4 linked regions of the Lonchura striata genome follow. The protein of the gene in region 4 purifies or fractionates together with the protein of the main gene of each other region. This does not show direct contact. Links are inferred from orthologs where the notes say so. Each region holds a gene or a part of one and is shown on either strand. Other genes may lie near its edges.

Region 1 (7,347 bases), on a different chromosome or scaffold from region 4:
TTCCTTGTGCTATGCCACGTTCCCCAAAGCCCCAGGACAAGCTCCCACACTTACGGCCTTCATTGTACAGGTACGCCAAGCTCAACTTCACAGCAGCTTCAAAGTTACCACTTTCAGCAGCCCTGAAGGGCAGACAGAGAAAGCACTGGAGGTTAAAATCCTTCCTAGCACCAGAATCTCCAGTTTGGTCCTTGTGCCCTCAAGGACATCCATCAAAACATCAAGCCCTTGTATTCCTCCCTCCCCAGCTGTTGTGCACATACTGGTCTGCCTCAAAAAGAAGTGACACTCAGAAGCAAAACCATTATCATGGCATTTAAACATGTTAAAGAAATCTCTGACACCAATGGATCCCCTTCAAAACAGATGGATAAAAAGATGTTCCTCATATTTTTAAAGCAGATTTATTGTTGCTGTTTCAAACTTTGTTACTGAAATTCACTTGTTTTTCAATACACTGGTTTGCACAAGAAGTGACCAAGCCAACTTAGACTTAGAAACAGGATTATTTTCTAGAACCCCTGACCCCACACGTTCATTCACATGGGAGCACCAGAAAGTGGTTTTAAGGAATGTGTTACATTCCAATCTGGAATATTAATGCCTGTGAAGACAACTTTGGTATATGCAATAGGCCCTGCTCTGGTTAAAGAGACAGCAGTGATCAGCTGTAGCTTAGATCTCAAATCACATGTTTTTTCATTTCCAAAGCAAATATTTCCCCTCTTTGTACAACTCAGATCCCCCAATTACACTGAGGACTGATTAGAACAGTTAATCTTCCTTCAAACGTCCTCTTCTAAAAGGCCAGACAAATTTGATGTTTGACACTTACCTTTCAAACATCCTCAGATGGTTTGGAGATGGCCACAGGTCTTGGAAACTTGCATGTGCCCAAACACTGGAATGATTATCCACAAGGTATTTAAGATGTGAGTGCACCTGCAGGGAGGGAACACAAAATAATGATTAACAAAATAAAAGGAACAACAGAAAAACAGGTCTTTGCAATCTTATTTTAGAGAAGTAACTAATTCGTCACAAGTTATGTTTAACTTGTTGCCTGCCTCATAACCAGTAAGGCAAGAGATGCCAAACCAAACCCATTTGTTCAGCCACAGTAATCTGGCAGGACAATTACCACAGAAAAGGAACAAAAAGCAGTCAAATACTGCTGCTACTCTTAACTTGAGCAGTGAGAAATGAAAGTCCCTGGGACAGCAAAAATCTCAACCTTGCAGGCACTCTTTGGGTTTCTTCAGGCTCTGTGACATGAGAAGCCTGTTCTGTGTGCAGTCCAGGCTCCTGGAGGCAGAGCTGAGCACTGAGCCTGGCAGAGGGGAAGCTGCAGCACTTACAGCTCTGACTGAGAGGATGTCTGCAGCAGGGAGGCCCTTCAGGATGTGAAACAGAACATCCTCGGGGAGGTTCAAGAATGTCAGGACTCGAGGCCGTTTTATTACCCTTCTCTTTGAAGGGAAAGAAAAACATCTGGAACATCTACAGTGAACCACTGGAAAAGAGAAACACAGGACACCTCAGTTAGTGAGAGCATAAAGGCAAAAAGGTACTACATAGTATTACATATATACACAGGTGTTCACTTGAGCACCTCTTCACTGCAGTGCAGGACACTGCAAACACATTAACCAGGGATATATACCTCATACCTCATTATGCCACAGAGCAGAAAGGGCTTGTTCAAATTGGTTAATGAAGCCAAGAGACTCAGAAGGGGTGGCTCAAGCTCAAGTGCTCTTCACCAAGAGCCCCTCTGAGCCCTGACTCCTGTGACCGTGTTTAGTAGCAGCAAACAGTTCAGCTGTCCCTGTTCAGTAGTAACAAATAGTTTAGCTGACACTACTGTCAATGCATTTACCTCCCCCATGCCCCAACTTTTCCTTCTCAACTGACAGCAGTCTCTGGAACACAACCAGAGATATTAGGAAGACAACCAAACCTACTCAAGCCTATCTTTCCAAGCAGTTGCTACCAGGGGTGCTAATGGAAGACCCATTGCCTATATCTTCTGGAATATTATTTCAGTGCAATATTTATAGAAATACACACAAACACACATATATATGTATACAAAATGTACTATCCTCAGCAGTATTATTGCCATGAAAATGAAATAGACACCCAAACTGGGATGCCAGTTCAGCCTATATGAGCATCCAAATAGGGACCAGGGTGTAGATGAGCAACTCAGTGAAAACTCCATTTCTATAGACAGTATGTGGCACAGGTTGATTTCAAATATGTTGCTTCACGAAACCAGAGCGGTTTAGGCTGCAAGAGAGAACTCTGGGTGTCACCCAGTTCAGCTGTCCCGCCAAGTGGGGCAGGACCACATCCAGGTAGGTTTGAGCAACTCCAAGGATGTGGATCCCACAATTGCTCTGGCCAATCAATTACCATAGTTCAGGCATTCTTACAGTAAAAAAACACTTTCTCTGCCTCTTGAATGGGGCTTCCTGCACAGTCCTGCGCACGCTGCAAACTCACAGACGCCCGAGATGTTATCCCACGCGCAATACACATCTTGACCCCTTGGCTTTGAGGGCAGGCGCGCTTAGGCACAGCCGCCAGGCACAGCCACGGACGCCGTGGTCGCGGAAGGGCTGAGGCACGGCCCCGGCGGGGAGCACCGCACGGGCAGAGCCGGTCCCGAGCACCCACCGGGCCGGGCCGGGCCGGGCCGGACCGGGCCGGGCCGCCCCCGCCGCGTTTGAATTTGGGCGCGAAGCCGTTGGCCCGGCTCCAAAGCCCACTGCCGGTCCTTTAGCCCAGGCTCGGAGTATTCCGGTAACCCCCGCCCTCAGATCCCTCAGGAGGCGCCCGGCAGGCAGAACCCGCTCTGGAGCCGCCCCTCAGCGCAGGAAGGCCCGGGAAACAGCAGCACCCGCGGAGGCCGCGGGCAGAGCCGCACTCACCGCCCGCCTTCATCGTGGCGTGTCCGCGGGGACCGCGCGGACGGACACAGCGCCCTGCCCGGCTCGGAGAGAGCGGCCCGGGCGTAGGAGGGACCGGAGAGCCGCGGGCGGGCGGGGCCCGCGGGGCTGGCACGCCCCGCTCGCGGCGCGGGCGCGCCCAGTGGGCGCCGGGAGCGGCGGGAGCCCCGCCCGCCAGGCCCGCCCGCCGCGCCACCACCCCGCCCACCGCCCGCGCGCACTTGTTTTAAACACAGCAGCCTCTCTCATTGGCCAGGAGGCCGATGGGGGCGGGGCCGTTCCCGCCCCGCGCGCTGTGATTGGTCGGCGAGGATGCGAATTCGAATCGGGGCAGTTGGCGGTTCAAACCTGTGGCGCAGCAGCGCATGCGCGGGCGGCACGGCGCCCCCTGTCGTGCGGGGCGGTGCAGTGGGGCGGGGCCGCGGCGCTTCCCTCACGGGGCTGCCGCTGCGCTCCCGCAGTCTCGTTACGCCGGGCCGGCGGCGGCTGTGGGGCACGGCGGCGGCCCCGGCTCCCCCCGGGGACCAGGAGTCTCTTCTCTCTCAGCCGTCCCTGCTGGTGCTTTGTCGCTCACAGTCACCTACACTTAGCCGAGGCTGCCTCGCCAAGGGAGCTGTTGAGGGGAGCAGTGGGGGCTTATTACTGCCTAATGATTTCCACCTTGAACATGCAGCGCCTGAGGGTGTCCGTGCTGGAGCTAAAGCATCGCGGAGGTGGTTGCGTGTCCCAGGCCGGCCTGGGGTAACCTGCCGGACAGCAGCTCTGCAGAGAAGGCTCTGGGGGTCACAACTGTCCCTGACCAGCCTTGTGTCCTGGGGCCAAGGTGGGGGATCCCGGGCTGGGAAGGGCACTGCCAGCAGGTCCGGGATGGGGTCCTGCCCACCTCTTCAGCCCTGCTGAGGCTCATCTGGAATGCTGTGTCCAGTTCTGGGCTCCTCAGGACAGGATGGACATGAAGATCCTGGAGTGAGTGTAGAACCATAGAATGAAAGGGACCTGAAGAACCATCCAGTTCCACTCCCTGCCATGGGCAGGGATGCCTTCCACTATCTCAGGTTGTTCCAACCCCTGTCCAGACTGGACTTGAACACTTGGAGAGATGGGGTGGCCACAGCTTTTCTGGGCAGCCTGTGCCAGGGCTCATCTTGACAGCCAAGAATTTCTTCCTAATCAGCTAACCTTATCAGTGTGAAGCCATCCCCTCTTGTCCTCTCTTTCCAGGCCTGTGTCCCAGATACCTCTCCAATTGTCTTGAAGGCCCCTTAAATACTGGAAGGGGCTCTAAGGTCTCCCTGGAGCCTTCTCCAGGCTGAACACCCCCAGCTCTCCCAGCCTGGCTCCAGAGCAAGAGGGTTCCAGCTCTTGCAGCATCTCCATTGCTTCCTATGGACCTGCTCCAGCAGGTCCACAGAGGGAAGGTGATAAAGGGACTGGAGCATCTCCCTGCTGAGGAAAGGCTGAGGGAGCTGGGGCTGTTCGGCCTCAAGAGGACACACAGCTGAGAGTGGCCCTCATCTATATCTGTCAGTGTCTGCAGGGAGAGGTCAGAGCATAAGAGGGGGGTCCAGCACAAAAGGCAATGGGCAAAAAGTAAAGTACAGGATATTCCACCTGAACATGAGAAAGAACTTTTCTGTGCATGTGACTGAGCACTAAAGAGACTCCCCAGAGAGGGGGTGGACTCTCCCTCGGTGGAGATAATCAAAACCCACCTGGACACGATCCTATGTCATGGGACCCTTCTTGAGCAGGGAGGTGGGACCATTTGATCCACTGTGGTCTTTTACAGCCTGAACCATTCCATGATTCCTGCTGGGGGAAGGAGCCAGGGTCTGCCTGGACAGAGTCTGTTTCTGATGTCCTGAGCTGCAACCTTGCCCCATCCCTTCCCAGCACACCTCTGTTCCTGGCCTTCTGTGGGGGTGAGGGGGAATTAGGCAAACAATTGGGAATCGAAGTTCAAACCTCAGTACGGGATTCAGAGGAAAGGCAAAGGGCAGAGTGGGACAAGGAGGTGTATTGAAAAGACTGGCAGGCAAACAAAACAATGTAGGGAAAAGCAGATATCGAGTTAGTTCGGCTGAAGACTTTTCTGAATTTTAAGACTCATAAGACTTAAAAGCAGTGAGAAGAGGAGCTCTTGTTTTATAGAACAGGAAATGTCTGCACCCCAATTACTGGTGGCTGGAAACTTTCCCAGCATTGTACCTTGAATAAACATCATCAGTCCCGGCAGAGCTGAGGTTTCTTCATGCTAGCGTGTATGAGATTTGTTTGAAGATTTTACCAGCACTTCTCATTGTTAGAACATGAACTTCTGAATGCTTCTCTGCACCCGCACCCTTTCACCTGCGAGGGGTTGGAATAGCTTTGAAATCTCAATAGAGATCTCATTTTATGGTTGGGGAGGCTGAGCTTGAGTAGCCTGATGGCTTCTCTGAGCCCACCCCACAGCGCTGGCCACGCTGGACCTTTCACCTCCTGCACTGTCCCCCAGTCCCATGAGGTGACCCCTGAGGGAGGAGCAACTGTGGACAGTCTTTCTCCTGTGCAGCCCCACCTCCACTTCCATCTGTGAAACTGTGTCATGTTCCTGGGAGCGCAGCAGCTGCCAGCATGGCAAACTGACACCAGGAGCACAGGGAATATTTAGATTCTTTTAATTGAGAAGCAATTTTGAGTTAAAAAGTTAATCATGCTGTCAGCTTCTGTTCCTCATTTTTTCTCCCCCTCACAGCTGTTTCTGTCAACTAAAAATAAATTGAACCAGCAAACAAAATGTGAATAATCAGCTGCCTACAGAGATTTCAGATCCCAGCAAGAGATCCCAGCTCCTTGGGTGATCTGCAGTGCAGAGTCATCTCAGGTAGATCCCATTCTTCCCAAACATGACAGCAGAAGAGGAAGGCAGGGCATGGAGAGGGTTATATTTGAGGGACAGGAATAACCAAAACTTAAGTGGGCACTGGGAGGTGGGAGGTGAGATTCTCAGCAGCAGTACATCTTGGCCTGATTTGTTCTTTCCTGAATAGGATGGCAGGACCTCCAGGTGGTTTTATCACTGACAGACAAGCCGGAGCAGAGGCTGACGGGTGTGAAGTGGGACTTGTGTTACCTGAACACAGCCATCTGACTCCGCTGAGCCTGTGCCTTGTAACCCCTGCTCAGAGGCGGCAGGCAGGGCAGGAGCGGGACCTGCACATTCACCAACGCGCAGCCAGTGCTGGGTGGGATACGCCATCCTAAACACACCTGCACCAATTGGGAAGCCTCTACACATCGAAGAGTCAGTCACTACAGAGGAGAAGGCAGATTTGTGCATGTTTTAATCTGTATTGCCAAGTCTTGAGCTGGATTTCAGTTTAGAGAGGGACTTTTCACAACGGGGAAAGGCCTTAAGCCATTCTTAAGCCTTGTCCTATCACTGTCCTTATCACACACCTGTGAGGGTGCCGAGGCCTGTTGCTGTCGAGGCAGGACGGGAATGAAGAACTCTGACTCAGAAGGCTGTTGAGAGTAATACTCTGATTTATTCAAAATACACCGCTCTTTTATACAGAGCTTCCCAAGGACCAAATCCATTGGTTCTGAAGTGAAAACAACCCACCACCATTGGTGCAGAGTGCTTGACACACAGTGATAGAACTTAACTATAAACAATGTGAAAAACAAGAGAGATAAAGAATTACTTACATTCTTTCCCAGCATTTTCCCAGGCTTTTTGCCTGGCTAGAAACTCTCCATTTCTTTCTTTGACTGAATCTGAGACCCACAGAGGCCCTGGCACAGGTTGCCCAGAGCAGCTGTGGCTGCCCCATCCCTGGCAGTGTTCAAGGCCAGCTTGAAGAGATCTTGGGGCCACCTGGGATAGTGGAAGGTGTCCCTACCCATGAAATGGGATGAGCTTTAAGGTCCCTTCAACCCAAACCATTCTGGGATTCAATGATTTCCTATATATGCCTTTTCCTCCACTGAAGAGCCTGCAGAGTGTTGTGTTTCTCCTCAATCCAAATGGCTCCTCATTTCCTTCTCTTCTGCTAGCTCTGGAACTGAAGGTAAATACAACAAAGACATTTTATTTGCCTTGATTGCTGTGATTAAGCAAAACTCAACACAGGTGTAACACTTACTCATGGTTCTGCCAAACCTGGGATTCTCTGGGGGCAAGAGTTGTTACCAGCTCCAGTTTCACTCAAGGTGTTGATCCCTCTTCTGAAGAGATCCAAGGGCCTGAGACCATGGAATCTAAGCAAGACATCCAACAGCAATATTCTCCTAGGAAAACTGAAAATTTGTTCAAAATATCTCTTAGCCAGGAAATATCAGCTCCACTTTCACAAATCCATGTGAGAAAGATGTTCATTGCTACACACATCATTGCTCACTTGCTGCC
Region 2 (7,159 bases), on a different chromosome or scaffold from region 4:
AAAAGAAAAACTTACCTCTGGCAAAGTAATCCACCTTCTGCAAACAAGGGGCAATAATCGGGGCTTAAACTACCTCCCCGCAGCTCTGCGAGCGCGCCTGAGACCAACAGCTACGGGAAGCTTTACAAGCCGGGGGGTGGGCGCATGTCGGGGAGCAACGCGCTTTGCGCAACGTGCAGGGCTCATACCTGTAGCGCACAGAGCCACAAAAGTCTGAGCATGTTTACGGATGATCTGCTTGGTGTCCTCTGCCAGAGGCATTTTAGTAAGAAAATGTTCAATGAAATCGTGGGGGGTCATTGCAGCCAGATTCCATTTCAGCTTATTCACCAGCAGCAGCTCCATTTGCTGCAAAGAGAAGAGGGACGGGAAGGGGGAAGGAGAGAAGAGGAAGAAGTGGGGGGAGCGTGATTAGAGCGCTGTCCCGCTGCCGGGGCGGGGTGCGCGGGTCCCCCCGCGCCGGCACCGGGCCGGGGCAGCGCCCGCCGGGCCCGGCAGGGGGAGCCCGCGGGCCGCCCAGCGCCGCGGGCCGGGGGGGTCCCGGTGCTGCTCCCGATCCCATCCCGGCCCCATCCCTGCCTGCCGCCAGCTTCCGAACGCGCCGTTTGGTTTTTGTTTTTTGGTTTTTTTTTTTTTTTTTCCTTTCCCTGTAGCTCTGTATATCTATATTTTAATATTTATTTCGATTTTTTTTTTTTTTAAATTCCTGAAGTGATCGAACGTGAAATTACCAGTAATTCGTCGGGTCTAATGGAGTTATCTGTATAAATGCACAGTTTTTCTGCGGTGAGAGGAATAGTTTCCTTCATTTTTGAAGCCACAAACATGCAGGTAGCTCCGAGCAATTGCAATCGGCTTTTCTTGAGGGGTTCGAACGACAAAAATCTGTCCAAATAATTCATAGCCAAGGGGAAAACTTCCTCTTCGCACTTCTGCTCCTCGCAAACCTGCAAGAAGGAGAGAGATCGTTGAAGAATAATTTAACTGAGGCGAAAGCCAGGCTTGTCCCGCTGCTCTCGCCCTCCCTCCTCCCTCACCACCAGGCTTTGCAGGGCAAGGTTGAAGGAGACAAGGGGGAAACGCATTTGGGAAAAAAATACATAAATATGGGGAAAGTAGCGTCATCAAAGAAAATGAAAGTCACGAGTGACAAAGTGGGGGGAAATGTTGCGTTAGAAACCCGCAGGTGATTCATGGCAAAAGGGGAGGGGGGTTATCGAAGAAGAGGTCTGCGCCCAGTTTTCCAGCCCTTAAGAACAAATTTTTAAAAAGGGAAGAAGACGGAAATCGGGGGAAAACGCTAACCCCCGTGGTTGGTAACGGGGTGCAGATCCGGGCTGGGCCCCGGATTTATTAATTTCGCTTTTATTTTTTCATCTAATTTGCCGTTGTGCTCCCGATTCCCCTCTCCGGTCGAGACACAAAGGTGGCGTCCAGCCTCATTTCCCCAGACGTCATCTTTTCAAAAAATATTTAAAAATATTTAAAAAATAATTCGAGCTCTCAAAAAAGGCTGAAAATGCAGCAGCGGGGGTCCTTTACCGAGGCCCGTGGCTCTGGTCCTGCTGGGGGGCTACAGGGGGATCCCCCGAAGTGAAATCCACCGCCTCCCTCTCTCGCCCTGCAGCACAGCCCGGCGCGACATTTCCCCAGAGCAAGGCAGGGCGCTGCGGTTTCAAAAATTAATTAAAAATACATCACGGGCACCCAGGGCTTCCGAAAAGGCATGAAAATGTAGCCCAGCTCCTGGGGCTCCCTCTGGGAGCCCCCTCGGACGTGTCCCGCCAGGGACGAGGCCCTTTCAAACTGGCTTTTCCCAGGCGACCTTGCCGATCGCTGCCGCAGCACAAGCGTGCCTTTGAGGGGTGACCGCAGCTCCAGCCTCTCTTCGCGTTGAACAAAGGAACTTTCACCCTGCAACTCCCCCCAGAAGCGCAGGAGCCCCTCCAGCCGGTCCCCCTGCCCGCAGCCCCAGCGGGGTCCCCCGGCCCCCGACCTTCCTCCCCCGGCGCCTTCCCCCGCTCCCCCCCGCCACACACACACCCTTGGCTCTGCTCCCCGGGACTTTCTTCGTTTTTCTCCCGATTAATAAACACTTTTCTTTGCAAATAAAAAGAACAAAGATGGCGCATAATACTGGCACGGGCAGCCGCTTGCATACGTGTACAGGGATATTAATTTAAAATAAAATCCCCAGAAAACACGAGCTGGCAGGGGCTGGCGGCGGCCCCGCGCGGCCGGGGATCGGCGGCCGGGCCGGAGCCGCTCCCCGCCGGGCCAGGGCAGCCCCGAGCCGGCCCTGCCCCGGCTCCCCTCGCTGGCACCGCCGATCCCCGACGGCCGGAAAGGCTGCCGGGCACCCCCCGACTCCCGGGGGCACCGGGGTGTGTGGGGGGGGAGGGCTCGTCCGCCGCCCCTCGGCGCCGGGACCGGCTGCGGCAGCGGGGACACCGAGCCGGCCACCGCCGCCTCGTTCCACGAGGGCATGCAACGTGTGCCGCGCCGGGGAAGCGACCCCGGGGAAAGGGAGTGGGGGCAGGCGACGGGGCAGCGGCTCCCCGGATTAATTCGTTTCGGTGCCGGAGCTTGCAAGGAAAAGTTCCCGAAAAGATACAAACCTCCAGCATCCAAGTGGCAACTATTTTCCGCATATATGGCAAGATTTCTTTCTGCACGCACTTGAAGTAGGAGACGGAGGGCGAGCAGGTCTCCTCCGCCTTCAGCATTGTCTGCAGCACCCTGTCATTGAGGAGGCTGGCATCCAGGTAGGCTCGTCGGATGGTCTCCACCTCGCAGCACAGCAGCTGATGTTCCATGTCTGCCTTCGTCGCCTCGAGTCAGTTCTCTGCAGCAGGACTGAGTCAGTCGCTCGCTCGCTCGCTCTCTCTCTTCCCCTTCCAGGAGTCCCTTGGATGCTGCTTCTGCTACTGCCGCTACAGCCCTCTGGAGGCTGCAAAACTTTCTAACTTCCAACAAAACTCTCCTGGTGTAGTCCCTGTGACGTTACTGTTGTTAAGCAGAGATCAAAGCACGAGAGAGAATGAGAAAGAGAGAGAGAGCCAAAAGCAAGGGGCAGAGCCCTAAAGCCATCCCATAGGCTTCAAGTCCTTCCCCTTTGCTTAACTTATAGAGAGCAGGGTTTTAATGCAAATGAGACAAGGGCTCGCTTTCTTCAAGGGCAAGGGAGAAGTGGGGGAAACCCAAATTGTCTCTTCAGTGGATCATGCATAATTTTAAAAATGGAGCGAGTTTTGCACTGGGAGCCAAATGATGAATGGGGCTAAGGCCACACACAGACACCAGGGAGAGAAATGCAAGGAGACTTCGTATTATTTTACAGGGGCGCCAGGGAGGGGAGTGGAGCAGAACCAGCGCCTCGCTGTTTGCTATCATTATTATTATTATTATTATTATTATTATTATTATTATTAATTATTAATCGTGCTGTCACTGGCATGTAGCTGCCACGCTGTCCTTTAAAAAGGCGCACTCCCAACCTGAATGCCTACTCTTTGTAGCTGATTCCAAGGGAAAGCCTTTCTCCTATTTCCTCAGTCCTGTATTTTCCCAGCCAGGATGGTTTTACTGCACACCAAATTTTTTAAAACAATTGAGGTGTCCACCCCTCTGCCAAGATGGTTATTTTACAACCTCTTTTTTTTTTTTTTTTTTTTTTTTTTTTTTTAAGGTCTTTCCTTTCACTTTAAAGGTTTTGCCTTCCCAGAGGGGCATGGAGATGGCAGGGGACGGGGCGAGAACTAATCCGAGGTGCAGCCGGTGGCAGAGCACACCGGGGAAGGCCACGCTCGCACCTCACCCCCACTGTTCACCTCCACCCAGGGAAAATATCCCAGCGGAGCAGCAAAATGGAGGCCAGGGCTCCCTCCAGCACCTCTGGGGAGATGAGCTGGTGGGCTGGGAGGGAGGTGCTGGCAGCCGCCAGAGCCTGCAGGGGCCTCATCCGTGTCTACAGGACATTCTGTCCACACGTGGAGGGGCCCCACCATAAATAACGCCCGCTGCCCGGCCGAGCCTGCTGTACCTGAGGACGCTCTGCTTCCCACTGTTTGTTAAAAAAGGGCATCTCTGAAAGCCTCACTTTCCCAGGAGTTGACAGCACAACTCGAGGCCCACTGGGGAGCACTGGAGGTGAGGCTGATGCATGGGAGAAGTGACTTGTCCTGCCCCAAAGTGGCATAGGGAGAAGCAGGAAGGCTGTAAATTGGGGTGCACGGATTAACCTCAGCCTTGATGCTTTGGCATCACCCGGGTGTCAAATACCTGCCCGGGGTACAACGCTGACGGCAGAAACTGCAGATGGTGGCTAGCCATGGAGGACCCAGCATCTCTCCTGCGTGACCTGCAGGGAGAGCAGTGCCAAAGATCACAGGGCATGTTGTTGCACAGTTGTGTGTTTATGTAATCTCTTTGCATGGACCGTCTGCCCATTTTCTCATTTACTCGTTTGCTTGACCATTTGTCTCCATTTTGTCTCCGTCTGTCAGGAGGAGGAGGAGGATGGCGGAGGCCCCGCGCTCTCAGTTCCCCTTGCACGCCACAGCCCATGGGGAGACTCCGGAGGGTCCCTCAGCGAGGAAGCTGTCCCCTGTCCCTCCGCCTGTCTATTGTGCTTCACGCACAGGACGCCCACTTCTGTTTCCACAAGTTTAGCTGGCCGGAAAGGTTTTAATATCAAATGAAGAAGCACGCACGACCCCGCGCTGTCGGGTGGGAATTGGATGCACATCCGGGGGGACCCTATTTAATTAACAACCCTGCACCCCCAACACCTTTCTGGTGAGCAGCTGGTTTGGCGAGCCCTTGGGGCAGCCGGCCGCATTCCATTGGACCGTGCCAGCTCTTTCCTTCCGAACATTTGCTCCCGGCCGCGCCGCCGAGCCACGCGGGTCCCTCTCTCTGCGCGGCGCAGCCTCGCCATCCTGCCGGTGGCCGCCGGTCGGAGCGGGCTCTCCGAGGTGCCTGTCCCCGCTCGGAGCACGCGGCCGCCGCTCCATTCATAAAAGCAGCGCGGCGGGACGCGGGGCCGCGCGGCGGGCGGGCGGTGCCGGCGGCGGGCGGGGCTGGCGCGGGGCCCGGGGAGCCCCCGCGGGGCGGCGCGGCCGCAGGAAGCGTCGGCGCGGGAGCCAATGGCGGCGCGGGGCTGTTACCGGGCGGGACGGGCAGATCTAGGCCGGGGCTCGCCCGGTCCCGCCGACACAAAGGGGACGGGGCGGGTGGCAGCGCCGGAGCCGCCGCCGGGCCGCCCCCGCTCGCTCCGACGGCGGCAGCGGGCGGTCCCCGAGCCACCGAGACCGCGCCGCCTTGCCCGCACCGGAGCCTCGGGGTGCGCTCCCCAGCCGCCCATCCTTGGATGCGGGATGCGTGCTGCGGCCGCTTCCGCCACTCTCGCCCCCGGGGGCTTCCGACGGCGCTTCCTTCCTGCCCGCTCTCCCTCCCTCGCTCCCGCTCGCTGCCTGCCCGGCGCTCCCCTCCCCGCGGCGCCCGCCCGCTGCCGGCGGCGCCGAGGCCGGGCCGCCACTTTCTCATGATGTCATCCCGCCCCCGCCGCTGCGCGCCGCCGCGCCGCGCGGCCCCGCCGCGGGAGCGCGCATTCCTGGCGTGCCGGTGCTCGCCGTAATGTCGCGAAGAGCAGCGCAGCGGAAGAGAACGTCTTCCCCCCCACACACCCACCCCAGAAAAAAACCCACTCCTGCTCCGGACTCCTCTGGACAAGGAAGAGAAGGAGCTGCTGGAGCGGGTCAGGCAGACGATGACAGGTGTGGAGCAGCTCTCCTGAGAGGAGAGACTGAGGGAGCTGGGGAACACTGCGAGGGCATCTCATCAATGCTTATAAAAACCTCCAAGGGGTGCCGAGAGGAAGGTGTCAGACTCTTCAGTGGGTGCCCAGCAACGGGATGAGGAGCAGTGGCCGTAAACACAAAGCACAAGGATTGTCACCTCAAGGGCAGGGACACACGGAGGGTGGCAGAGCTCTGGAACAGCTGCCCAAGGGGGGCGTGGGGTCTCTCTGAGACATCCCAAACCCACCTGGAGGCATTCACCTGCGGTGCCCAAAACCCCAGGGCAGCCGTGGGGGGCTGGTGAAATGAGGAATTTGATGGAGCAAAGCTCACAGAGGGTTTCTGTAGGGGAACCATCACCAAGCTGGGGAGAGGCATGAGCCTGGGTGGGAGGGAAGGTAGGGATGGCTGGGGGGTCCCAAGATGATGAGCTGTTACTGATGGGACCAAAAAAGCAGGGCCAGACCCAGAACTAATGGAATTCAGCCCAAGTTTATCCTGGGGGTAAGAAAACACAAAAAGCCTAAGTGCAGGGGAAAAAAGAAGCAGGGAGCAAGGTTTCATTTCTTCATGGAGGAAAACTTCCTGTTAGGCCATGCCAGAAGTGAGCCAGTGCAGGGAGAGGTACCAGAGGAAGCCTGGCAGACAGTAACAAGGTGAATAAACAATGTATTTAAGCATCAGCATCCTTAAAGTGAAAGTGTTTTAGTGAAGAATATTTTGGTTTTGTACAGTTTCTGTTTTGCTCAGCTGACAGTATGTTTTGGTAATATACCAGCATGAAAATGGCCAGCACAGACACTGGGGTTTGATATGGATATGTGAGGTAGGAAAAAGCACATCTTGGCCACATAGAGCATTTACATTTTATTTACAACATAAAGAAACATTTTCTCTATTCCCCAAAATGGCACTCGCTCTTTGTCATCCAAAAGCCACATAAATAAATACCATTGGAAATGTGTTGTTGAATTGCTTATTCAGAAGGTTTTGAAGCACAATGTTATTATTTTCTTTAAAAAACAACTAAACAAAAAAGAAATGGCAACAAAAACACAGGGAGATGTTTTGTATCGATTTTGGGCGTAATGCCCCATAAATGTCAGTAAATCAGTATGGATCACATCCACTGCAGAAATGCTCTCAGAAAGGATGGTCTCTCATCCTTTCTGTTGAGTTAAAGTGAGGTGCTGTTGTTGGCAAGACTCTGGGAGCTGGGGTGTTGCTGTGGTCACCTGCAAGATGTTTGCAACCCTCAGACCATTCTGAGACACTCAGCCACTCTGCTCCTTCGTTGTAAAGTGGATTGGCACCTCTCTGAAGGACAAGTATGCATTCTATGAACCTTCAGTAAAAAT
Region 3 (7,725 bases), on a different chromosome or scaffold from region 4:
TTGCTGTTGTTTTGTTGCTGGTTGTTTTTGTTTTGTTTTGTTTTTTTTCAGTGCTTGTACAGGACCTCCATGTCCCGAAGATCGGCGATATGTATTTTTTTCCTTTCCCACTACAACTCTTCATCTTTCTCTCTTCATCGCCACCCGCCGCACCCGACGAACGAGGACGCATATCCTCTGTTCTGCAACGGGAATAATGAAGGAAAAAAAAAAAAAAAAGAATAAAAAGACCGGGGAAAGCGATTAGAAAACATCGACAAGAAACGCGATCCGCGGTGCAACCGGTTCAAACCGACACCGCATCCCCAGGGCGGCGGGCCCGGCCCGGGCGGGGCCCCTGCCGCCCCCCCGCGCCGGCCGTGCTCTCGCACCGCTGCCAGCGGCCCCGAGCCTCCATCCCTCGGCGGGGAACGCGGAGGGACCCCTCCCGAGCCCCCACCCCTAAAAGCGGGCGGGAGTGGCGGCATTCGCACGGCCGCGCTCGGCCACGGCTCACCCCAGCGGGACTAATTTGTTGCAACTTCTGCTTTACAGCTTAGTATCTCTCTGCACAATCACAAATCGTTTTATTGTAAACCTCATTCCTAACCTCGGCTCCCAAACCGCCAGCGCAACTTTTACCAACTCTCCCCGCACCAGCCCTCGCCTCAAAACAAAAAGGGGGTAGGGGAAAGAAAAAAAAAAAAAAAAAACCTGCACAACCCAGCCTCCCATTAACCCACTCCCTTCTCTCCCTTCTCCCTGCCAGCCTCTAAAACCAAACCAAAACAACACAAGAAAAACGGGCGGGGGGGGGGGGGGGGGGGGGGAGGAGGGGGGGGGCGGGAACCCCATACCAAACACAACAACCTTGCATTGCTCGGATTTTGAGAAAGTGCCCGGATTCCCCTTAAACCAAACTTCTTGACTTATTTCTCCCGCAGTGCGAGGTGGCCGCGACATGCGACGGTAAGGCTGACACTGGAGGTGAAAACGCCCCAGGAGCAGGGAACAGGGGAAGTCCCCCGAAATCCGCTGGCATCTGACAGCATGCACCAGCCGCGCTTCCAACTCCACCCCTGCATCCGCACGGTCCTTGGGAAAGGGCCCTCCTTGGCCCCGGTGCCCATCCCGCAGGAAGGCAGGGGCAGTACCACCGCAGCCCCTGCCCCAGCCCCCTGACGCTGCCGAACCCAGGCTGGGCTTCGCTCCTTGTTTTGTTCTTTTCAAGCCCTGCACCTCCCACTCCCCACCCTCCAACACACACCCACTGCCGAGTGCTCGGGGTAAGCCACCCTTCCTCGAAGAAAACACCCCTCGGCGAGCCCACAGGGGCTCGAAGCCCCCTCCCCACCCCTTTAGAGATGCGGGATAGACACTCGGTCACTCCTTCTTTCCCTTACTTGCATCCTAATGCCAAATCCTAAAGGGAACTGACCTAAACGCTTTACGTTTGATGTCTTCCCGGGCTTGATTTCTTGGGTGTTTGCTCCACTGAATTGGCACTGGGAGAGTCTTCTGAAACCTCTTCTTCTGTTGTATTGGCTCTTTTATTTTGAGGAGAGGAATCTAGGAGGTGAAAATTAAAAACGAAGGGGTCGGGGGGGGGGGGGGGGGGGGAAGAAAGATATTAAAATATTTTCCTTCCAGATGTTTGCTTGGCATCCAGGGGGGGATAGATGGAGCCGAGGGGGAATATTCCCAGATCCCCATGTCAGGTATCAGCTGCGTGAGACGAACAGGGGGTGGGGAGATGGGCTTCTCCCTAGGCAGGAGACCCAAGTTCCCTCTTTTCGGCTAAAATCCATATTCGTCTTTTGCTGAACGCTGTGAACCTCCTCCCACCTGGGCAGGAGCCCGGGTCCCCGCAGTGGAACAGCGAGGGGTTGGGGAATCTGACCCGCGTCTAAGGGCTCGTCCTTGCAAATCATCTACCGGCTCCCACTCTAGGCGGGACCCCCGGGACTGCCAACACTACCCGGGCTTTTTTAGGGGGAAAGGGGCGGGGGTGGTGGGCACACCGAGCCGGTGCCACGCGTGGCAGGGGCGGAAGGGCTGGAGCGCCGGCGCTGACACGAGTGGGACGCGGGGCAGAGCCGTGGGGTACGTTACCATCGGCTGCGGGTCTTTTCCTCTGGGCAGTGCACTGCTCTGCTAAGTCCGTCTGATTTTCTGAAACATCAGTCTTTTGAGCTACACAGTGAGTGTCCTCTGAGATTCCCTGAGAACCGACAAAAACCACGGTTTGGCAATTCCCGTTTACATCCAAGCTCTGGCGGCCGGCGGACTTGCAGACGGCTTTCCGTAGCCGGGGGGGTCTGAAGTAGAAGTCGGGCGAGCTCCCCTTCTCCACGGCTTGCCACTCGTACCTGCCTTCCAGCGGCCTGTGATTCTGGAAATCGAAATTCCACTTCCTCTGGTACATCTCCTCCATCTCCTGCAGGTGTTTCTTAAATTCCCTGTTGAGCTCTTCGTGGTTCACCGGCCCGAAGAGGTTCCGGCACGCTGACGGCTTCGGGTACTCCGACTGCCTGGCCTCCATGCGCTCCAGGGTAGGGCTCCCATTAGAAATGCGGACGTTTGACATCTCCCCGCACGCTGTAGCTCCAGGCGGCGGTTGTTGTTCTCGCTGCTCTCTCTCCGCGGCCTCCGCCGCCCTTTATTTCCCGGCGCCCGGCGACGCCGTTCCGCGCCTCCGCTCCGCGCTGCCCCGCGCTGCGGCCCTGCCTCGGCCCCGCTCGCCTTCGGTCCGCGGAGAAGGGGCGAGGAGGCGCCCTTGCATAAGCACCGGCCCGGGGATGAGCCCCGAGAGCCGCCGCTGCCGCCGCCGGGAAGCCCCGGGCGGGTGAGGAGCGGAGCTCAGCGCTGCCCCCCCGGTGCCGGCCCACCGCCGATGGCGATGGCGCTGGTGCCGATGATGCCCCTGCCGATCGCACCGCCGCCGCGTAGTAAAAGCGAGACGGAAAAAAACAAGAGACGAGCCCTTTTCTTGGTTGCCCAATATGGCGATTGAAGGGAGGCTGACGAAGAAGAAAATGATTGACAGGACGAGTCTATTTAAACAGCCCGGCTGAGCCATTGGTTACAGCGGCGGGCACCGCCCCGTCCTCCCGGTCCTGCCCCGCCGCCGCCGCCGGCTCTAAAGGTGGGACGGGGAGAGCTGGGAGCGAAGGGAAAACGAGAGGGGTGGGACGACACTGTCGAACCTGTTCTTATCCCTCTGTAAAGCCCGCAAAACCCGACGGGATTTGTGCCACCCCACAAAAACACGCACCCCATTCCGCTGCTGGCCCGAATGCCTGAGGAATAGTGACGGCTGGTTTTGAGTCAGAGCAGTGACAGCAGAGGCTCACCGCGCTGGTTTGGCCGGGCTGGGCTCTGGCGACACGTCCCCGATGAGGTCGGGGGCTGGGGGCAAGCTCGGGGCTAGTGGGCAGGTTGACCACCCCACGGCATGCCGCGGGGACCAGCACCCTGATCCGCAGCATCCTGAGCGCACTGCCTGCGGAGATGGGCTGATGGCTCCTAGTGTCAAGGCGATCATCTCCTGCCCTCTCGGCAGAGAGAGGACTAGATTAAGAAATGTCTCTAAAATAACATCTGCCGGGATTTCAGATGTCAGCTACTCAGGGAAAGAAAAAAAATATAGCATTGGGGTTTGTCCTGTTTGTGTGATCAAAAGATCAGATGAGCAAAAAGTCATAGCCAGGGATTTTCTAAGCAATTTCCTCGTATAGTTAAGAGCAGGTGTAGTGGACATAAGAGCAATTGTGCACTCCTCTCTGGCCCCCTTTTCTCCAGCCCTTTTCCACAGCCATCTTCACTCACCAGTCAGGGAAGGCCCCCAGAGTGTTGTGTGACACTGCAGGATCTCTCAGGCACTAAAGGTTGTGACATTTCCAGGTGTCCAGATCTGGTGACTGAATCTTTGGCAGGCCCTGAAGGCTCTTCACACCAATCCATCTGGACATGTCTCTTGCAAGCAGAGCAAATCTATCCAAACTTCACTGTGGGAGGGTGAGGGGGATACACAAGTATCTCAACAGGGCAGGGGTCTATATAATTTGGTTTAACTGGTTGAGATGAGAGTCAGCAGGTTTGGCCTTGAAAATGTGGAGATTTTACACACTGGAGAGAGGACACAGCAGGAGGACACATGGGAGAAAGGACACAGCAGGAGGACACATTGAAGAGAGGACACAACAGTGGACTTCACACGGTGCTCAAACCCAGGCCAGCACTTTGCTGGCCATCATCAGTCCTCCTCCAGGCCTCCAGCTTATGCTCACACCACTCAGCAGAGTACCATCAGACCCAAGTTCAAAAAAATTATGTGTACAGGCAAAAAAAAAAAAAAAAAAAAAAAAAAAAAAAAAAACCAAAACAAAACAAATTAGATTAGTTTAAAAACCACAAGGTTGAAATACATTATTAGCCACATTATTTTTATTTATATGCTGGGGATTTTAATACTTGGAAGTTGTTTTTAACTGCTCTCAGAAATTACAAGTTTCAGCAATTCACTTGTAAAAAATTATAGCTAATATTCACATGTCTGCAGGACCTGAGATTATTTTTCAAGTTGCAAGTCCATGATAAAACTCCATCAGCTGGAAAAAAGTGGGCCTGCATCTGCTGTATTTGCAGGATTTCATCTTCATTTCTCTAGGTTTTCCTGTCTTTGACTTCCATTGTCAACAGCAAGAACACTCCATTTCAAGCTTCATTTTCTCTGTCAGGTGTAGGGACACTGAGCTTGTTTTGTTGATCCACACAAGAAAGTTGTGACTAAGTGATCTGCAGAAAGTGTCCAAGGATGCCTAGGGCTCATCCTGTCGATGGGGGCTTCCCTGCTGGTAACCTACTGAGTGTCCCACCTGAGATTCCTTAGGTGAGGGGTTCCCATTCTCCACTCTCTGGGAGTCTCTGCTTGTCTCCCTAATCCACAAGGGAAAGGCAGCCCTCTTGACTGTAGGATTATGACAGTTGTACCAGAGTATAAACACAAACTAGGAAAAAGAAAAAAAATGTGGGGAGTATGGGTTTCCAAATAGTGGAAAAGACTCTGTACCCGAGTAAAGCAGCAGAAACATGACAGCAGTGCAACAGAGAGAACTGATTTATCTGAAGCCTTTGGAAAAAAAAAATAAAATAATAAAAAAAAAAAAGTCACTGTAGGACAAAAACCTTCTGGGTTTTGTTGTTGTTGTTGTTGTTCTGTTTATATTTTCTTTAGCACAAGGGCCTGAAACTGAGTCCCTGGATGATGTACAAGTATATTGAGCACGAATAATTAAATCCAAAGGGGCGGAGGGGGGGGGTGGGGCGGGGGGAGAGAAGAGGGGCGCGAATAATTTAAGCCGTTGATGGAAGCAACGGAGAAAATGAATGAGAAATGGTCTGCCCCTCGGTTTATCCCTCTGTCCCTTCTCCTCTATCACCCTGCCTCGCTGTCAGAGGGACTGGGGAGAGGGAAAGGGGAGAGGGTGTACCCCCGAAGCTGCGGTAGCTGCGCGTCTTTCTGGGGACAGCACAACCCCCAGCCCGTGCCGCCGGAAACGTTAGGGTCGCGCTGGGACAAATCAACAAGAAAGGGGGTAAAATTAAGGAGGAAAAAAAAAAAAAAAAGTCAGAGTCTCTCCCCCGTGGCGGGAGCATCCGCATCCCCGGAGTATCGGCGGCCGTGCTCTGGGATCGGGGTTGGTTCCCGCCGTTCTTTCGGCTCTCGCGGCTCGTCCCCCCACCTCTTCCATGCGAGCTCGGATATCCACCTTAAATCGCTGCGGCTGCAGAGGAGGAAAGAAAAAAAAAAAAAAACCCAAAAAACAAAAAACAAACAAAAACAAACAAAAAAATACAAAAACCGAAAAAAAAAAAAAAAAGAAAAAATAAAAAAGAACGCTGTGTCTGCAGCGACCTTGCCATGATCTAAAGTGTTTTGTTTACAGTCAGCACCTCCAATGGCTGCAGCAAATCGGGACAGAGGCAGGCGCCCGCCCGTAGTAGCAGTGAAACGTGGAAAAAAAAAATACAGGAAAAAATATACTCGAAAGTCCCGGAGTGAAGCTGTGGAAAGATCAGAGCGCCATCGTCTTGTTAAAGAGGGGTACAGCAGTGGGGCTGCGGGGGAGGCGGTGCGGGGTGGGGACGGGGGCCAGGGCTGAGCCTCCCGCAGAGCTCCAGCCTCCACAGCCGGCTCTGCCCCCTCCGGGGCCGGTTCAGCCAGTCAAAGACCGGAGGAGAGCATTAGAGAAAAAAAGGAAACCAAACAACAGCACGAAACTTGGAGGAGTGAAGCAGGGAGGAGGGAGGAGTGTTTGTAGGAAGGTCTGGGTGGCTGTTCTAACAGGCTCTGTACACCCTATCCCCTCTCTTCCCACTACCCCTCTCCTCGCTCTTGTTTGGGTTTTTCCACTGGCAGAGCTGCTCGCTGTTTCTCTTTCCACCAGAATCGCTTAGGCAAGCCTCCCGTCTTCTTTTTGGCCACCCGCCTTCCCCAACACTTCATAAAGCTGTCCCGTGATCCAGCAAAGCCCATCCAAACTGCACACACAAAGTATCTAGGTTGCTTGGGATTTTATATATTCCCTTGCAAATAGGGGGAAAATTGGGAATCATACCTGAGCTCCTCCACCAGGATGTGTCCTCCAGAGTCGAGGATGAAAAAAGCAGAGATATTGCATGACCCATCTGGAGGTTTGCTCCTAACCCACCTCAGCTATTACTAAGCCACAGCTACTTCCCCGCCTCTCCAGGTTTACACCAAGTGCTGATTCCTTCAGGAGATGTGGGGTGAGCCTGCCATGAGATTTGGGGTGCAGGCCCCAAGTATTCACCATATAATATTCACTTAACAGGAGCCCTTTCCTTCTAGGCAGGATTAGGACCCGGTGAGGTTCAGCAGCAGAGACTGTCAGGAAGGAAGGAACCACTTCAGTGTACAAAGGCTCTGGGACATGATCCAGCAGTGACCAGGAGCAGAGCACTCCCTAGGGGGGCAAGGAAACACTACCCTCCTGTTCAAGTGGCATTTGAGACCTTCTGCTCATTTGCTGTAAACTCTAGAGGGAGCCTAAGGACAGAGATCAGGCCAGCGCCAGGACCTGACCTTGCTGTTGGCAGCGTCCCCAGTGCTGTCCCTGGGCAAGTCCCATTCCCATCCCTGCTGCTGGCACTTCTGCGGGCTCTGCTCCCGCTCCCCTCTTGGCAGGTGGGGCCAGGGGTGCCCAGGGGTCCCGGACCTGCCAACACCTGCAGCAGCCTTGGGTGGGCTCAGATGCCAGGACCAGCCCAGGGGATTTTGAGTCCTTGTGGTGGTGTTCCTGCAGGTACAGCTTGGGAGTGTCCTTAATGGGATTTGGGTTGTCCTTAGGGGGATTTGAGGGTGTCCTTAATGGGATTTGTTTTTAAAGTCAGGTGCTGTGTCAGAAATGCCTCTTCTGTGCTATAACGATAGGGTAGGTTACACAGTTATGTCTGCAGAAGATACAGGTTAAATTACTAGCACTGAAAGTATTCATTCCAAAGAGAGATCTCATTCTTCAAAGAGAGAGCTTTCTGCAGCTCTCTGCTTGTCACCAACTCCCCCTGACTTGCTAAAGAAGGAGTCCTTCTGAAATACCCTGATTTTGTCTCAGGGAAGACTGGCTCAGACAATTTAATTTTTGTTTTTCATTTTGTTTGACGTGCAAAATAGGAGCAAGCTTGAACTGCCCCTGAAGCACAGGTGAAGCCAGGAGTGTCCTA
Region 4 (6,887 bases):
ACAATCTTAAGGATCTTCTTCATCCTTATTGGAGTGTAAGGGTTCCTAAACCCAAACATACATACATTGAGACACTACCTGGCTGGAACCTAGCCAATTTTAAGGCACATTAAAGATCAAGTATTTTGCTGCATCAAAGAGCAAGCAAGTATATTGGGGGAAGACAGTGGCTGCAATCATTTTTACATGTCAAGCAGTCACTGAAGGAAATTTCACTCACAGCTCAGGTGTGCCAGCTATGACAGCATCAAAACACATCTAAATTCTTGCTACAGAACAGCAGGGAGAACATCAGAACACTTAAGTCAAATGGCCTATTCCAAGGTGATAAACTTCTGAGATGGCCTGAAGTAACAGCTACAGCCAGTTTTCATAAAGCATGCCTCCATTCTCACAATAATCTCTCTGAATTTACAGAAATTTCTAAATTAAGAAAAATTTGTTAGGTTCCTAGAATGAAAAGAGGCAGCATGAGGAAGGCTTAATTAGAAAACTGGCACAAACATGGAATTTAAAGTATTTGCTGCAAAGCAGACATTGCATTAAACAGAGAGGTTCTCACCTTACTAGATGAGTGGGAAAATAATTTATGATCTGATGGAACCTAGTGCTCCTCCAAGAGTTTAGCTAAATACCAGTATATGCATACCAGACTATATTGGGATGATTCAGCTCTTTTAATAAAGAAATTTCTCGGATAGCAGTACTTGGAACACCTTCCTCCTCACTTTCTAGACGTATTTTCTTCATTGCAACCACTTGGCCTGTGGTTTTGTGACGACCTTTATACACAACACCATAGGTACCTGAACAAAAAGACAGTGAAACAAATACAGGAAGGACCAGCTTCAGGTACACATAATATTGTAAACACGAGCTGCTAACATAGGAAAAGTCCTTACAAATGGAGTATTGGTTTAAATTACAAACTACTACTTAGCTGTGGAGTTTACCTGAGCAATATTTTTGTTTGTTTAAAGCATGCCACCCATGAAGTGTAGCATTTGTTAGGACAGGGCACTTAGAAGGCTAAGTGTGAAAGGCAAGTATTTGGAAGATGTAGTTATAAAATCAGATACTATTTGAGTTTCAAGTTGATTAACTTCCAGGCAAGATTATTATAAAGGATTATGATTTTGCCATTGATACATCATATTAAAATGCTAAAGGTTTAGCTGCACATGGAAGTAGTGTTCCTTCTGCAGTCTGAGATCCAGCCATCCATGGGTGTGAGCTGTAGAAATACCTCTGGCACAATGCTCAGTGCAGGAGAGGCTAGTGCTGTGGATCTCAGCAGAAGCTGAAATCGGAACCAAGAGTAAATCTCAAATCAATCCATCTTAATTATCAATGCTCAGAGAAGTAGAACCCTCAAACCAAGACAGCATAAGCCTTCTCTTTTTACCCTTCTTGAAACATTAATCCCTCACATGAAGCCCAAATTAGTTTATTTCAAAAAGATCTGTGCACAAGGCTTTGGATACAAAGCTTTGTTGCAAGATCCAAGCACACCTTATGCTGTTGCCTCAGAGTGGGCAATAGTACTTCAAATTTTCAAGTCTACATAAGGCCTTATACTGTGTATTATAAAACACACTGATTTCTACAGGGAACACAGGCTGGACTTCCAGTAACAGGGGGGTTGTGACTAACACCTGCATTGAGGCCATCTTCTCAGTACCTCAATGTGAAGTAAATGTTAAGAATTCACTTCTCCACAGAGTTTTGCTATCTTGCTTTCCTTTGACACCCACACTGCCCATATATCATCAGAGCAGAACAATCCAGAAAATAGTACTCCCTACCAGCAGCTCCAAGCAAAACAACACATTGCACAACTTCAGGGGCAGCTGCTAAGTTCACATTCAGAGAAATGGGGGAGCTTCCTAAACTGTAAGCTGGTTTCAGGACTCAGAACATACTTTTTCTCCCTTCTCCCCTTTGGAGATGACTAATATTACAGCATTAGCCAGCAAAACGAAGGCCGATATTTTTCAGCACTGATCAGCTGTTTTTACAAAGACCATGTCACTTTTACGAAAAAGGGCAGGCTGGAAGGTTTTACAGATATAGATAAGTACCACAGTAACTAAGCTACAAGCTTATTTAGCCACTTGGTTGAATCTCAGTGTTTCCTGTAACAGGCAGAGTGCACAGATGTTCTGGGACACTTCATAGCTCAAACTGTGGAGCATTTAAAAGCTCACTGCTCCCCATACTTACCTTCCCCAATCTTCTCTATTTTTGTGTAATCATCCATTGTTGTGGCTATCCCTGAAATGGACAGGAAAAAAGAGATAATGAGGGTGAACAGTTGCTGTCCTGAGCACAGACAGGTCACTGAACCTATGCCAAGTCTTTAGAAGCGAGTTGTGCCTCACAAAATTAGCTGCAATGTAAAACACTTAACTGTTCTCATCAACAAAAACACAGAGCATATTTATTCCGAATTCCACCTAGAAAAACTATACCGCAAGGTATGAGTGGGCAACGATTCCAAGGAGAAAAAAAAAAAATTTAAAAGCTTGGAAAAAAGCTCCTCCAGGAAACTGAAAAAAGCGGTTAGCTTTTACCTAACCACTGGCTCAAGAACAAGCTAGAAACAGACAGGATGGCCGCTGTGTCACCGGGTGTTGGCCGCGCCAGGAGACACCGGCCCGGAGCGCCACCGGCGTGCCGCGGACAGCGGGACCGGCACTCCGCTCCGGCTCGGGGGGCTGCGGACACCGAGCGGAGCCGAGTTACCTCCGGCCCCGGGGGCTGCCGGCTCCGTCCGCCGGCCGCGCTCGCTGCAGCCCAGCCCCCGCCCCGCTCCCGGCGGCCCAAGGCGCTGCCCCGCTCCCGGTCCGGCTCTCGGGGCAGGCCCGGGCGGCCGCGCTGCGCCCGGGGCTGGGCAGCGGCAGCGCGCACCGCCCGGCCCGGCCCGGCCCGCGCCAACGGCCCCGCCGCGCGCCCCTCACCTGCGGAGCCGCCGCACCCGCCGCCGCCGCACAGGCACGTCCGCAGCGCCGCGCGGGCCGGGGGCGGGGCCGCGCGCATTCGAACCGGCCGCTCGCCGCGCTCCGCCAATGGCGCCGCGCCGGGCCCGTTCAAAGCGGCCAATCAGCGCGCTCCGCGCCAAAGCGAGGCTCAAAGGGCGGCTTTCGCCTCCTCAGCGGGGGGAAATGATGGAGAAATGCCGCGCGGCCGGGCACGGCAAGGTGAGAGGGCACCGGACCGCCCCGTGGTTCGCGGACGGCGCGAGTGAGGACAGCCTGGCCGGGCGGGTCCGCGTAGCCCTGAGCCGGTGACAGGGGGCGCTGGGACTGCTCACGGTCCAGAGTCACGGAACGGGTCAGGCTGCAAGGGACACTCGTGGGTCACCTGGTCACACCTCTCTGCTCATGCAGGGCCGTCCCAGAGCACACGGCACAGGCTCCTGACGGTTCAGGAATATCTCCAGCGAGTAAGATTGCACATTCCCTGTGGGCAAGCTGCCCCAGTGCTCGGTCACCGCACAGTCAGGTTGTGCCTCGTGGCACTCCTGGGCATTAGCCCCTGCCCATTCCTCTGCTGCCATTGCTGCTCCCAAGGAGCGGCGCCTGGTCCCTGCAGCCAGGGACGGTGTTCCCTCCTGGGACACACACACAGGGACGGTGTTCCCTCCTGGGACACACACACAGAGGGACGGTGTTCCCTCCTGGGGCACACACAGGGATGATGTTCTCTCTCCGCTGTCTCTGCTCCAGGTTGGACAGCCCCAGCTGCTTTAGCCTTTCCTCCTCAGAGAGATGCTCCAGTTTCTTGACCAACTTTATGTCTCTTCACCGGACCCTGGGTACCTCTGGAATAACACTTTGGGCTTTGTTGGCATAGTCTGGGGAGTATAATCATGTTTGGACCAGGCTAGGTGTTGGCTGCAGCTTCTCCTTTTAATCAAGTCTGTTACATTTGGATGCTGCAGTTTCTCCTTTTAATCAAGTCTGTTAGATTTGGATCCCATGGCCAGCCAGACCATAAATTCATTATTTCTAGTTGCATGGGCACTGATCTGGGCAGTGCTGCTGTGGCCTTGGGAGCTGTTTTTAAGGCGTGTGCCTTAATGAAAGGTCATTGGGTAACTTAATTCCCCAGAAGCTGGGATGTGTGTCTGTAGGCAAGTTAAAGTTCTGCATCCCTCCTCCCAGATTAAGAAAGATTAGTTGCTGTGCTATCCCAGCTTCTGAAAGAAGGGTTGGGGATGTAATTGGAGAGGCACCTGTGGGCCTTGCTCAGTGAGCACTCTGCCAGCTGCAACCTTCCTCCACTGGTACCCAGGAAAGTGGTGCTACAGTATACGACTTAACAAAAAGCCTGGGAAAATATTACAAACAATTTTTTTTACTGAGAAACTGAAATGCTAAATAGATTAGCCAAGTTCACGTGTTTCTAGTTTTACAAGTCTTTCCCCTGCAGGACAGCTCCACTGTGGATTCTGGGGTGCTGCTGACCCACTCTAGCACCAATTTATCATCAGCACTGGCAGTCCTGGACCAACAGCTTCTGTGGAAACCTACAGTCCCTGCAGGGGGGAGACACAGGCACCTCTTCACACTGCTGATGTTACTGCCTTTTAAAATTACTTCATTGCACTGGTTTACAGCATTTTTGAAGGATGGCTTTGCTGCTTGTCTGAAATGTAAGCAGGGCAGGGCGCTGCAAACAAAAAGGTGCAGCTTCTCCCTTAAAGCATTTCTTTGGGATGGTGATTCCAGGAAGTAGGGCTATTTATGGTACACTTCCTTCTTCTCATCCCTACCCTGTGGCAAAGGCAGGAGGCAGCCCGTCCAACTCCTCCCTCTGAGTGTGTTTCAGGGGTAAAACCCCTCCACTTTCCCCTCCCTCCTGGGGAATTTTTGCAGCATATGGTGAGCATGCTCACGGCTCTCTGTTTACCTTGAATCCTGTATTCCCACCACTGGCTGGGGATTTACCTGCTTAGAACAAGGCTTTTGTATATCTGGGAAATTCCATACGGGAACATGGCTTGTGCAATCTTGTGCAATTCGTAGGAAAAAACCTGATGTGCTTTGCCCTGCACAGTGACAGAAGATTTCTACCCTGTGTGTGTAACAAGTCCAAAGCAGCCAGGGCAGTGTGGGCACAGCAGTGCCCATGGATCAGCTGCAGAGCTCAGACAGAATGTAGGACACATCCCTCAGGCCTGGCTCTGCACCTCTGGGGAGTTGTTTTCTATTGTCAGCACAGGACTGAGCTACTGCTGCTGGACCAATCCTTGTCTAGGGACGTTAGGTAGGTTGCCAAAGTCCAACTTTCCCTTTAGAGGAAAAGAAAACATTTCTCGGAAGTCACAGACATATGGTAACCCTAGTTATTTACAGGGGTTGTTGGTGGTATAATAATCATACAGTACTATAAATTATTATAAGTTATATGAAAATATAGAGAGATTTTATATAAAATATACTGTGTCTGAAAGTACTGAATACACTGATCTGAATTTTCTTGAAAGCGAGGTCTTTTTTTCTAGCTTTAGTTTAAATATACACAAGAATTTCTTAGCTTATTTTTTAGAAATATAAATTTCTTAGTGTCCTTCCAGCTGGGCACTAACTGTTCATTCTCAGAGTGCTCGCTGAATTTTCAAACTCTTTGAGAATATGCCTTTTTCCATACATCCCATTGTGTCATGGGCTCTGAGTGGGAAAGACCAGGAGGCACCAGAAAGAAAGCTGGTTAAAGAGCAGCTCTCTTGTGAAGGAACCCCACTTGTTTCACATGTGAGGGGACTTCTCCATGAGCCAGCTGCACACAGCACTGTGATCTCTTTGAGGCCGTTGGTCATCCCCTTGGTCACCACCTAGGATGACAAGTTTAGGCTTTTCTGAGACCTTTAGGAAAGTTCTGGAAGGTGGATGGCTTTGAGATCCCTCTGACAGCTGTTGCACTCAAACCCGAAATCACTGCTCCTGCCTTTGTGTCAGCCTCGGGGCCCAGGCTGTGCTGGCTTAATCAGGTAAGCAGCTCAGGGACATTGTTTTGTTGTGGTCTCCACGTTGGTGTGCTGGTGGCCATGCCAACCCCTCAGAGCAGTGGAGGGTGCAGCTGTGTGTGCTGGTTTCCTCCAGCAGCAGCAGAGGCTGCCTTTCCCTCTGCCTCTGGCCCTCCCTTAGAGCTGCCTTGCTTAGGAGCCAAATGCATGTAAGTATAGACTCGACACGGCATTAACTTGTCAAACATCTGTCTGACACTTACCTTGTGTTTTCCTCCCTCTTGTTGTCTGTGTAGTGCTTATCTCGGTTGATCATTGCTTTGGACATGGCAGGAGCTAATGATGCTGCTTGAGACAAGCGGTACAAGTACGTTTGCAGGGACTTCTGTGTTTGAAGGGATTTACTGTTCTGCTTGAAGGAGCAGCAGCAGTGAGCCTGCTGAAAACTGAGTCACGCATGCATGTGGGAATCCCTAGGACTGCTGCTCCCCTTCACAGCAAAACACGGTGAAATGCAGAGCTGAGGGAAAACTCCAAGGCAAACAGCAAAAGAATCGTGACACCACCATGTTAATTACATTTTATTTATATAAATGACAAAGGGGCACATATATGAAAACCTCTTTGGCATCCCAGACTTCCCTTTGCCTGAAGTGCAGCGCTGTTTGTGCAAGGCACACGGGATCAGGCCGACAATGCCGAGCTGGGATTATGGCATTACAGTTGTATTCACGGCTGAGAACCCAGTGTAATGCTCTGAACAGCTCCTTCTCTGCTGGGCAGAGGGCAGCTGCAAGAGTCAATATCATCTTGTCTTCCATATATTAATTATATTCTCCTCAGCAATAACTTCACTGTAAGGAAGAGAAAAAGTGTTTTCTGTCTTTTACATAATGATGGGATTAAAAAGGTCAAC

What was found.
Region 1: the proteins of CDK1 (region 4) and CCNF purify together in Homo sapiens (affinity purification with mass spectrometry; 3 studies listed by BioGRID, with this or other methods). This does not show direct contact. The link is inferred for Lonchura striata from reciprocal best matches to the Homo sapiens genes CDK1 and CCNF.
Region 2: the proteins of CDK1 (region 4) and CCND1 purify together in Homo sapiens (affinity purification with mass spectrometry; 4 studies listed by BioGRID and IntAct, counting the BioPlex papers as one, with this or other methods). This does not show direct contact. The link is inferred for Lonchura striata from reciprocal best matches to the Homo sapiens genes CDK1 and CCND1.
Region 3: the proteins of CDK1 (region 4) and CDKN1B purify together in Homo sapiens (affinity purification with mass spectrometry; 8 studies listed by BioGRID and IntAct, counting the BioPlex papers as one, with this or other methods). This does not show direct contact. The link is inferred for Lonchura striata from reciprocal best matches to the Homo sapiens genes CDK1 and CDKN1B.

Annotation. Positions count from the first base shown.
Region 1 is NC_134618.1:2,545,254-2,552,600, reverse strand, and holds the start of CCNF (cyclin-F), read right to left. Parts: upstream 3,003-7,347; 5' UTR 2,950-3,002; coding exon 2,937-2,949; intron 1,514-2,936; coding exon 1,359-1,513; intron 943-1,358; coding exon 836-942; intron 123-835; coding exon 55-122; intron 1-54. UniProt on the Homo sapiens protein: Substrate recognition component of a SCF (SKP1-CUL1-F-box protein) E3 ubiquitin-protein ligase complex which mediates the ubiquitination and subsequent proteasomal degradation of target proteins.
Region 2 is NC_134608.1:55,237,854-55,245,012, forward strand, and holds the start of CCND1 (G1/S-specific cyclin-D1), read right to left. Parts: upstream 3,005-7,159; 5' UTR 2,817-3,004; coding exon 2,619-2,816; intron 948-2,618; coding exon 732-947; intron 349-731; coding exon 189-348; intron 1-188. UniProt on the Homo sapiens protein: Regulatory component of the cyclin D1-CDK4 (DC) complex that phosphorylates and inhibits members of the retinoblastoma (RB) protein family including RB1 and regulates the cell-cycle during G(1)/S transition.
Region 3 is NC_134607.1:10,525,109-10,532,833, reverse strand, and holds the start of CDKN1B (cyclin-dependent kinase inhibitor 1B), read right to left. Parts: upstream 3,009-7,725; 5' UTR 2,567-3,008; coding exon 2,092-2,566; intron 1,549-2,091; coding exon 1,427-1,548; 3' UTR 1,418-1,426; intron 183-1,417; 3' UTR 1-182. UniProt on the Homo sapiens protein: Important regulator of cell cycle progression. Inhibits the kinase activity of CDK2 bound to cyclin A, but has little inhibitory activity on CDK2 bound to SPDYA. Involved in G1 arrest. Potent inhibitor of cyclin E- and cyclin A-CDK2 complexes.
Region 4 is NC_134609.1:3,788,033-3,794,919, forward strand, and holds the start of CDK1 (cyclin-dependent kinase 1), read right to left. Parts: upstream 3,020-6,887; 5' UTR 2,961-3,019; intron 2,275-2,960; 5' UTR 2,261-2,274; coding exon 2,224-2,260; intron 807-2,223; coding exon 650-806; intron 1-649. UniProt on the Homo sapiens protein: Plays a key role in the control of the eukaryotic cell cycle by modulating the centrosome cycle as well as mitotic onset; promotes G2-M transition via association with multiple interphase cyclins.